2 linked regions of the Neodiprion lecontei genome follow. The main gene of each other region encodes a partner of the protein of the gene in region 2 in a complex. Links are inferred from orthologs where the notes say so. Each region holds a gene or a part of one and is shown on either strand. Other genes may lie near its edges. The genes, in order: COP9 signalosome complex subunit 8 and COP9 signalosome complex subunit 7b.

The links.
Region 1: COP9 signalosome complex subunit 7b (region 2) and COP9 signalosome complex subunit 8 share a complex: the UniProt entries of both Drosophila melanogaster proteins name them as parts of the CSN complex. The link is inferred for Neodiprion lecontei from reciprocal best matches to the Drosophila melanogaster genes CSN7 and CSN8.

The regions. Positions count from the first base shown.
Region 1 is NC_060264.1:22,050,373-22,055,998, forward strand, and holds COP9 signalosome complex subunit 8, read right to left. Parts: upstream 3,825-5,626; 5' UTR 3,667-3,824; intron 3,431-3,666; 5' UTR 3,239-3,430; coding exon 3,182-3,238; intron 2,879-3,181; coding exon 2,808-2,878; intron 2,726-2,807; coding exon 2,547-2,725; intron 1,132-2,546; coding exon 881-1,131; 3' UTR 723-880; downstream 1-722. UniProt on the Drosophila melanogaster protein: Probable component of the COP9 signalosome complex (CSN), a complex involved in various cellular and developmental processes.
Region 2 is NC_060261.1:43,244,644-43,250,323, reverse strand, and holds COP9 signalosome complex subunit 7b, read right to left. Parts: upstream 3,624-5,680; 5' UTR 3,609-3,623; coding exon 3,469-3,608; exon of another isoform or gene 3,280-3,468; intron 3,154-3,279; coding exon 2,496-3,153; intron 2,359-2,495; coding exon 2,158-2,358; 3' UTR 586-2,157; downstream 1-585. Other genes in the region: arf-GAP with coiled-coil, ANK repeat and PH domain-containing protein 2, read left to right, coding at 4,243-4,295, 4,891-4,948. UniProt on the Drosophila melanogaster protein: Component of the COP9 signalosome complex (CSN), a complex involved in various cellular and developmental processes.

The sequences.
Region 1 (5,626 bases), on a different chromosome or scaffold from region 2:
GTTAAAACAGCAGCTTCATGGTGGCCACTAAAAACAGTCGAAAAATTCCATGACTTTCCCTGACTAAAATGGTGAGTAATAGCGCCAATAATATCGTCAATATCGTCACGATCTATTTAATGGTGACTGAGAATAATTTATATTATTCATGCGAGGTTAAGCACAGAAGTATTTTTTTTTAATCACTTTGTTACCTAAACGTTTACAGAGAACATTTTCTAATTTATTTGAAGAAAAATTTTGTATAATATTTAGATTGATATGCAAACTTACTTAGTGCGTAGATAGAATATCTTTTATAGAGACCAGGACATCCTTTCTACTTATGCAAACCCCTGCATCTTGCCTATTCTATGTATAATATCTGGATGAGTGCGTAACGCTAAACCAAGAAATATACGCGGAAGTAATATTTTGTTCTCTACGTAATTTATAAAAATATCTCTCGTGCATAGTACGAAATTTTTCATCCGAAAAGCACTTTATTTCTTGACACGATCTATATTGATTCAAAATTTGTAGCATGCGATTTTTCCGAATTTTGATTTTTTGTAGAATAAGCTTAGTTTTTTCCCGTTCCGTCGAACCACCGTTCATTTTTTCTGACCAATTAAAAGATTCCCTGAGCTTTCTCTGATTTCCAGGCCTTCCATCAAGAGTAGCCACCATGAGCCTTGTTGTTCACAAAAAAATTAGGAAGAAAGTAATAGAAAAACCGGGTGTATGAAATATGATGAGGTAGATTCTCTTCACTAGTAATAATAGCAGTAATAATAATATCATGAATAATTATACATTTTATATGACAAGAGATCATTAAATTACGATATAGAAGTATTTTAAATGCGATTCATGTATCGCAAACGGACTTGGAGATATTTTAATTTTCCAGGAACGAAACAAACTGCGTAAGCTTGTGGAGCTGGTCCTCAGTGAGGCTGTTTTGGCCAAGATGATAGTCCTTATCTATTCTCTTCGGCTGTACCATGTCACCCTCGATTTTCCATTCCCTCTCGGTAGCAAGAGTTTGCGCTTCTGGCGCCGACAGTCCCGTCATGCTGGCCAACGTGATCAGCGTCAACGAGGAATATGCCTCTGATATCAATATTACCGCGCGTTCTCGAACATTTTCTAAAACAAAATAATTTCAATACTGTTTTTCCTCAAGTTTCACATTTCCAAGTGAGTTTTCCCATTTCCTATAGATTAAAATCTATCAAAATCAATTTAAAAGGAAGTAGCCGAAATTCTAGGCTATTATCCCATTCTCAGTTCTGTCCTAAATCCTTTCAATCTTTCCATTTGAACAACAGAGTTTTTAACGATTCGCGGTACATTTTTTTTACTGAAGTGTGTTGTCGGAAAATCTGACACTTTATAAAGTTGAAAAAAAAACAAAAAAAAATTAATTGTGAAGTCCCAAGAATCCCGATATTTAAATGAAATAATGCAAAAGATATGAACAGAACTTAGAATTGAGGTATGAGCCTGGAGTGGTAGCTAAATATTTTGGAATCTATTTTGATACTTTTAACTCATGAGAATACCACCCTGATATTTTTACTTGCTTTCTTTATACAAAATTCATACATTTAGTATTCAAACCATGAATCTATTTATGTATCAGAGGCTATTCTGGTCTAGAGGTCTGGATTTCAGGCGTTTTTTTGGGCTTGATATAAAAAAAATTTATATTTTCACCATCCATTTCTTCACAGAGGTATTATTAGTGTTTAAAGAACTTGTTCTTAAATTTTTTTAAAAACGTTATGGGCCTCTAAATAGGGCCGTGATAAAAAAAACGGTGAGGTGGATGACACGATTCCAGTGCTCCCATTCATCTAGAACGGAAAAACAGCGAGATTTCTTGATGAGTGAAAATGTCACTATAGCCGGAACCAAGAAAAGGAAAAAATATTACAAAACGGTGACTGTTTGAAAACAGAATTAATTATGTTCCTTGTGTTTTTCGATGTTTTTCACTTTTTTTAAATAGTGATAACAATAATTTCGCAATCCCTATGGTATAGGCTATAGAAGAATGTATACTGAAGATTCATACCAAATTTTAAGTCAACCGGTTGGATAGAACTCGAGATTTTATGTCCACAAGGTTGAAATATGGAGTTTTCAGATAAACATATTTAAAGTTAATGCGTTTAAAGTTTTGATCTCTGTTTTGACGCTTACTTCTGTATCAGCTGAAATGGGAATTTTTCTAACCGTTGATCGGCGACTCGTGAGGCATGTACGAAGCCTTTAGTCACATTCGCAGCTTCCTTACAGGCAAATTTTTCTAGCCTTCAAGCCAATAAATCTATTGAGGCGCACACTGAGCGGTCGTACACTGTTTCACTCAAATGCTCATAACTTTCTCAATTTTTGGAAGTTCGATATGGGCTTTGGTCAAAATATTCTTAAAAGAGGTAGCTATAATATGCAAAAAAAAAAATTGATCGATTTTGCCAAATTTTTGGACCAGCATAGGGGGGTATTAGCAAGGGGGGGCTTTGATATTGAATTTTCTCATCATTAGATTAAACAACCTTTGAGAGCATTCATTATGCTGTTTATGTCTTCGCTCCATTCAGTGCTCAGAGCTGCATGTACTGCAGGCCAGTCTCGCTGCCACATTCGCTGCCCGACTAACCAGACCTGCTGAAGTTCATTGCTGTTTGCCTTGACGTTGGCCGGTATCCGTTTCCACAAATATTTAGCATTGCATCTAATAAACAGAAGATACAAGGTGTAGTAAGTACATCTACTATATTTTTTTCCCTTCGTTATCTCGTCTCTGTATGGCTTACATGTCATTTTGGTATAGGTAAACCGCCAGTAGCTGGGTATAAGTCTGTGGTGTTGCGCCTCCATTAGGTGCCTGAAACGAAATAAGACAAACTTTTTGATTACAGATATAGCAGAGAATTCGTAAAAATTTGATCGCTATTCGTTTTCATGTAAAATTATTATTTTCAGATTTTGAAAGTTTGTAGGTTAAGAATTGCGTTTTATTTTAGAAACAAAAATAAAAAATGTATTGTACTAGGTTAGATCGTAGTATTTAATTCATTTCGCAATTCGTTGCAATTGAGGTGTAATTTTCAACGCTTGTAAGAATTTTTTTTTAAATTGTATGTGTAGTTAAGATTAACTTAGGTTTCGAAGATTTTCACCGGCTAACCTCAAGTTCTGCCTTCTCGAGCTCATCAAGTAACTTCTCAACCTCCTTCAAGACCATATTGAGCCTCCACTACGTCTCCGTGAACTTTTTGACTGTTACAAGTTTTCGCAAGGATGATGTTGTCCAGTTCAATTTTTTATTTGACAGTTTGCAACTTCCTTGAATATACCGTCCTTCGTGTTCGTATAGCTGTGTCTCTTTCTCACTCGAGCTCTGACACTATTGCCAACTCAAAATCCGGGCATGTCACTAGGAACAAACGTCACCAGATTTTTTCATAGTGCTTTTTCTTTATTAAAACGCTTTTATAAATGTTGTTAACCTTATTAATTTGTACTTCCACAATTATGAATATAGATGTATTTATATTCATTATTACAGAATAAAATAATATTTTAATCATATAAACTGTTTGGACGTAGAGAATTATCTGTTTTGTCAGTATTGTTCTGATGTGCTTGTAAAGTTTCACTCTTCGAACTTACCTTTTTTGGAAACTCCTATACCTGACAGCATTGCCCTGATATTTTTAAGCTGCATCTTATATCGAGGATCGCGTTGGTTGTGTCACAGGATTCTGTTGAAAAGTCTATAATCCCTGAAACGATCAAATGCCGCTCGAATGCACTCACGACAACCAGAACCAACTAATACGAAAAAAAAATTTTAAATATAAGTAATGTCACTGAAAATCACCGCAATGGGTTCCAAATCACCAGATTAGGTACTTGCCACAAGTGAAAAACAATGTCACCGAAAGAGTCATGAAAGGTATTAAATCTGGTGACAAAATCACTGAGCTGGCGACTCTGCCTTTAGAAGTAAACGAATAGTTGGTCTCTCTGCGCATACGCAGTAACGACGAATGACATGGATGTGTGCCTGGCTCAGAATATAAACAAATTCGTGACAGCGAGTTTTAGAATTGGTACTTCATTTGCTTTTTTTTTTTAAATCTGCAGGAATAAGCTTCAGAGTTTTTGCAAAACTCGGGAGTCATAGGTCCTTCAGCACAGAATAGAATTCTTGAAAGTTTTTTTTTGACTATAATCAAGATACCAGGAACTCAGAAAAGAAAAACTAGGACACCTTGCACTGCAACTTGGGATAAATATGATACGGAGAACTATTGTTTTTCGGCTGAACTGTTGGAACTATCAATCACAGTGACTTGAAATTGAATACATGAAAATTTCTTGGCGTAAAATTGCTTCTGATATCAAAAGAATATCTGGGCATTAAAAGTGTCTCAAGAACAGATGCAGATTAAATTAATGCTTTCGTGTGATGCAGTATGTCTATATGTACATACATACTGTGCCCTACGCGGTCGCATGGACATTTTTAAGTTCGCGCCGCCGCCACTAACTTATCAATCGTGGCGTCAGGGGCTCCAGCACGCACATATACATCGGCCTCAAAGCAAAAACTCCTCCCGCTTATGCTGTCTTTCAATGATGACAACAATCCGGAACAATAGTTGATCGGATACGTGCAATGTGCTCATAATCATTCGCCGGGATTCCTACGCGGTCACATGAACACTTCAGTGTCCACGCCTCGAAGAACCAGGCGCCTCTAATATGTATGTATTTGCGCATACTCTTATTCAACTTCAAAATGATGGACTCGCCCTCGTGTCGCTATTGCTTGGATACCGATATCTACTTAATCGTCTCGAGCACTTCTGGTAGTCACCATGTCTAGAACTCGACTGAAAAATCTGAAACCCAGCGCGCTACCCCTGGCTCGCTTCGTTTCTGCCCGATTGTAGCGCCCGACTCCAGTGGCTAATCCAAGAAACTATTGACTGACAATACAGGGTTCGTTACCGTTACTCTTACACACCTCCCACATAATTCAACTCAAATCTCTATGTATAACTACTGCAACAAAAATATTGTTATTTTCTGATTTTAACTAAACATTTCTTCCTCTGTTTTCACGTGAACGTGAACATAAATTTTTATATATATATGTATATATTTTTTTTCTTTTAATAAGGTTGATTTTAATTAGTTGGTGACAAGACCCTTCAAATCGAAGATATACAAGTTATGACTACTATTAATAAACAGATTTAGATCTGAGGAAATGCCACATGTAGTATAATACCCCGCATATTCTCATCCTAACTTGTAGCAGAAACAACAATCATTTCTCATGCAGGCTGTAGTTGTTTTCCTTAGCTCAAATATATGGGCTTCATAACAAAGTTTGAAACATATGTATTGACATATGTAAACGTTTAAACACTTGTAACATGTAAGAGGCCCAGCTGTTATGAACGAAAATAGTAAACTTGACTTCCTCATAGGTATATATGTATCCATAAGTTGCCGTATTATGTATGTATAGTATTTGAGAAAAATTAGGTCATATCTGAACACGGAATAAAGACGAAGCTAGCCCAATTTTAAGGGGGTGCCCTAGATGATTTCGACG
Region 2 (5,680 bases):
GCATACATACATATACATAGGTATAATATTGTATACCCTGAATTATTGCGGTATAGAATTACTACAATTATTTCTTTATTATCGTTATTTTTGTCCATTATTGTAGGGATGAATCCCTCGCCGCGAAAACAAGAACAATTGAATTTTAACCAATTGCAAGACAAAACAACACAACTGGATTTACATCATTCATTTTGCAAAGATTTCAGCATGCACTGTGTTATTTTTATATGAACATATGTTTTGTTGTATACTAAAAGGTACATATTTTATGGTTTTTCTTTTTTTTATAAAATGGAAAATCATATAATATTATCCATTCATTCGGTAAGTAACAAAATGATATATATCAGTATATGGAAATAGTAACTAATGTTGTAATTTAATAATTATGTTTATGCAGCATTTGGTATTAATGATACAAATGATAAATGTATCGCGAAGGATTACATCTCGAGATAGAAATTCTTTGATCGATATCGAACTGTTTCTGTTTCTTTCATTTTTTTTTTTTTTTTTTTTTGTAATACATATCCTTCCGAATTAGCATCCTCTTGTAACTGGCTCTTGTCTATAAAACTAAAATCGAAACAAATCAGTGGATTTTAATATCTGTCTGACATAACACTGTGACTTTTATAATACATATTATATTATTTTACTATGATTACGTATTTTCAAGTTTTCCTATTTACTAAATACTTTGTTTATCTCCTTCTGCAATACTTAATGTATGGCTGATGATTCGATCTCGAAAAACATCGCGGGATAGAAACCGAAATAAGTAAAACTGATTAGCATATTTTATGTCAAATTTTGGCAACATCTTCCCCTCAGTTTTGCTTATATTCACTTCTACTTTTACTTTTCACCAGGTTTTACATACATCGCGTAGTTGATTAAAATTATCTCGTTGAATATCTTGAATTAAATATTTATGTATCCGTTAATTAGCACCATTCGAATATATTAATAGATAGTTAAAAAACAAAAAAACAAAAATGGTTCGACGAAACGTTAATAACATCACTGAACCACAAGATGTTGAAGAATAATCTCGTACTTTTATATTCTATAATTTTATAAAACGTCGCGGGGTAAAACAAGTGAGAGTAATGAATGTACTTTATAAATCTAGGTAACTAGCGATACCAAAAATTGAAGATAAAATCAATCGTTTAAAAATTTCATTCCAATTCACGACTGCAAACAACCTTACTAAAGTTAAAACTTTTTCCGTATTTTCAACTTTCTCTTTCATTTCTTCGTTTAACAACGGCTTTTTTTAGTATAAACATAATAACATGGCTCATAGTGATTCCATATTTATATATATTATATTAGTCGTGCTTTTTCTGTAACTTGTGAAGTAGTGACTACGGTTTAATAATGAAAATCCTGAACCAGCAGTTCATTTTACATATTTAATAATATATACAACTTACGTCTCTTAAATATCGACGTGCAAAATCCGAGCCAACGTAATAATTGGCATTGTAAAATACAATTACGTTCTATTATACTCTTAAAGATCCCTGATTTCATTATTTTCATCACACTTTAAACAACGTAATAACACAGATCCCTCGGTCATTCTACTTCAGAACTTATTCAATTATTTTACGACACTCAGGGTGGCCGCTTGATTGTTTTTTTTTCTCAAAAATTACTTTGTCTCTTTTCCGCAGTGTTGCGCAAAGTGTAGGCATCGTTTTAAAAGTCTCAGTTATTGACTGTCAAGGAGATCACAACGCATCAACTTTCCAAAAAAAAAAAAAAAACAGAGGTGTTAAGTCACGATTTCAATGAAAACAAGAAACGACAAATTAAATTATGTTTGCTGACCACAGCAAAACAAAGTACACGACAATAGTTACAAATCACAGCCAACTTATTTGTATTTTTTTATTTTCGATATGTGAACATGACATAATCCCAAGACTTGAAAACAGTTTCCTGATAAAAGTTCTCGATTCTCCCAGAGAAGCGGCCACCCTGAAATCACTTCATCCTGTGCATACGAATATTCGTTAATTTCAGTCATTAGAAACTTACACGTATGACATTTTTTTCTTCGTAGAAATATCAAGAGTATCACCGATCCGTGGATAAGAAGTAGGCCTCAAGAGATCTGCACTTATCCGTTTGTTACTTACTTTAAGTCTTCCAGAACTTACCACTGCCTCGAATACCTTTTGGTTTTTGTTGTTTCTTTTTAGTATCTGGTGGAACAGGCACGGCTTCTCGGCTCGTTTCGCTTCCTCCCGATCCAGATTCGATCCCGCCACCAGCGACATCTGCCTCCTGGACAACCCCACGTACTGTATGAGCTGTGATTGATTTTTTTACGGCTTGGATCTGCAAGAGGAAGATTTTTGATCAGACTTAAAAGCTGAGAAAGGCGGGACTTGTGAAATGAGTGAATAAACGTGCTAGTGCTGGAATTCCAAATACACGAGCAGGTTTGGCTTAAGGGATTGTGCCAATTGACTTACCTCCTGCTTAAGTTTTTCTTGGTGTTGAGTTGCCTTTTGTTTTTCACTGTTGGCCCTAAGCACCTGCTGCTCAATGCAGTTCAGTACCGTGTCGCAGGCCTCACCCCAGGCAGTCAAGATTTCTGCAACGGCGCCGGTATCACCGGGTCTGACATCCCGACCTAATCCAGCATAGTCAACTTCTAGCTGTGAATTCTTCTGGTCCAATTTACCATGGATAATATCGGCGTAAACAGCCTCGATTATCAGATCCTCCAGGTCTCTGACATTCTTCAAGTCAAGCTCTTCTAGCAGAACGGAGTAAGGTATGCACTTTGATTTCGTGGCTAGCGTGACTATCGTCAAATGCTGGAGCTTCTTTTTCTGAACGGGTGTGAGGTGGAACAGTTTATCTTTGTTCGCCAAGTACTGCTTGTACGTGCCATAGGCGAAGAGGTTCAATGTGTTCCAATACTCGGCGTACGGTCCGTTCTCCAATTCTTTTATGTTCGGCATATCCAGCAGCTCCCCGAAAACATTTACTCCAGGTGCTTCAACGGCCTGCTTTATCAGCTCCACCGCTGCCGCGCCTTTAGCAGTTTTAGCCAGAAGGACAAACTGCTCCAAGGGGTTGTTGGTGGATGTTTTTTCAGTTACACTCGCACCCGTCATCGCTAATCTGAAAAAAAGGAATCTTCGATTGATTTCTGACAATTAATGGTATTGGGTAAATGCGAAAGTCGATTGCGGCATCGTGAAAAATCATTTCGATTCAAGTAAGGAGTCAGTGAGGTCACAATCTCACCAGACTAACTACGCTAACCTCGAATTCGGCTGCCCGAAGAACGCCAAGCCTAACGACGAACACAAATTAACGTACGAAATAATCAATATCACTTATGCAATTCTATGCTAGCCAATTCCCAGGAATATCACCGCTTATCAACTCGTTTCTCGCCTACAAAAACGATTTTATGCGCACGTATTGCTTTACCCCTTTGACGGATTTTCATTTGTCATTTGAAACACAACCACTAAGCCCACAGCCGTTAACTGGCAATAAAGGCGAAAACACTGGGCGAAAACAACTCGTGTCAGTATGTATTCTGTAGTTCCGGCATGGCTAGCTAACATACCGACAGAAATGGTAAGTGCTTCTATGTGCGTAAATTACGAACAAAAACGGAAATAACAGAGATCCTAGGCGTTTGTTCATATGAAAAAATTCGCAAACTCCGATGACTATTTACTTTTCCAATATCCACAAGTCCGTTATTATTACCGATCGCGATTTTTCTGTTGAGTTCTTACCAACGATCGGTAAGACAGGAAATTTCTTAATCCTGGCCGTAAATAGTGTAAATACCTCTGCCGTTCCCGACATACTCTGTTCGGGTTTTCTCCGCGCGTCGTTCTGGCGACTGATTCACGTTATTCAGATTTCACGTGTGCTCCGTACCTCGACCCGAGCGAGTGCGGCCGACTCACAAGTCTACTCCATTATTTATTTGACGAAAAAGTGGGGATTGGGGACCGATTGTCCGCACTGTGGTTTCCCTCTGACAAGTATCACGCTGCATGATTTTATTTTTCACTCATTTTCTATTCTTCACGAGTAATTACCCACGAGCTTGTGTGAAAAATAAATAAATAGCTGAATGAAAATGTTGTGCGAGAGTGACAGCATATTCGTGAAATATTATTAACGTATCAACATCACGGATATAAATCCGAATGTGACAGGAGGTGTCTCTTCGTCTGTTTCAAAATGCCGAAATTAATTGAGTTTGAGGAATGCCTACGGGATACGCCAAAATTTCGGTGAGAACAATCACTTTTTACAGCGAATCGTGGACACCCAACCTTGACAGATTTTACTTTCGTGTACAGATATGCCATATGCGTCGCCTGTAATTCATTCGCAAAACGAAAACGAAAGAGAAAGAAACGTATTATAATCATCATAGTAAACAGTTTAGAAATTCACCCACGGATTTATGCACGTCACATATTTAATATCCTTCTCACACATACGTATGTATATCTATACGTATGCCGTAGGTAAAGCATTACGTATTCACGCACGTAAAAATGTTCGGCTTAACCTCTCTTTGTCGAAAACTAAATTTATATTTGTACATTCGCTCGTTTCTGTCTACGCGTTACCTTAGACAAAATATCCTTTGTCTCTGCGACGTATTTACGCTGTGTTATCGCTTCTGAAATTTATTTCGACACTCAATGTGGAAGAATCGCTCATCCATTGTTAATGAGAATGAATAAAACAAACAAACCCACTACCTTTTACACCTATGTAGAAAACGGCTAATCTGTTGTCGATACAATTTTATCCTCCCCTCCCTCCAAACGAATGTTTGAAAAAATTGTCAGGTTGTTGCTATGTTATTTGTTCCAGATCACGCATCGAGGAAGAAGAAAGCAATGTAGAGCAGCTAGAACAAAAATTAGAAAAGGTACGCAAGTGCGGATTCGATTGTCCATTTTGTCGAATTAAAACTTCCTTTTATCCTTTATTAAGCATTTGAGAATAAAACATCGTATTGAAGTTGGTAATGTTATCATAACGATTCATGCTGACAAAAAACCATTATTTCATGGTTTTGGAATTGTCTGAAATTCAGTAAACGGTAATAAAACAAAACACGCTCGTATTTCGAATTTTTAGTTCCTGAAAAATCATTGTAAAATTAAGAAAATACTGATTTCTTCCCCAATGTTTCGTTACAATAACGTTACTAACTTCAACCTTGTAATAAAACACGTTCTCTCTGTTTTGAATCAAACCTAACTGATGTATTGTAAAAAAGCTCTGAGGTACTATTCAACCCATTTTATGACCTGTGAATATTTATACAGGATATCCTGTTGTTATCTTTAAAAGTTGTTTCTGCATTACATTACTTGTCCAGTTCTGTTAACGTTCAATTGAAAATATACAGCGTTTGAATCATTCAACAATACACTTTCATAAAGTTATAAGCTTTTGCTGAAAATTATTTAATTATATTATCTTATCTTTGCCCAGTAAAACCGGTGAACCCTAGTACATGGTGCATTAAAATTAACTTTGCGGTTTGCATACGTTGTGTAATCGAATGTGGTGGTAGAACATATACTAAAAACAATTTGTCTTGAATGTTTTGACAAATGCACGATTATGCTAATTACAGATGGTTATGATATTG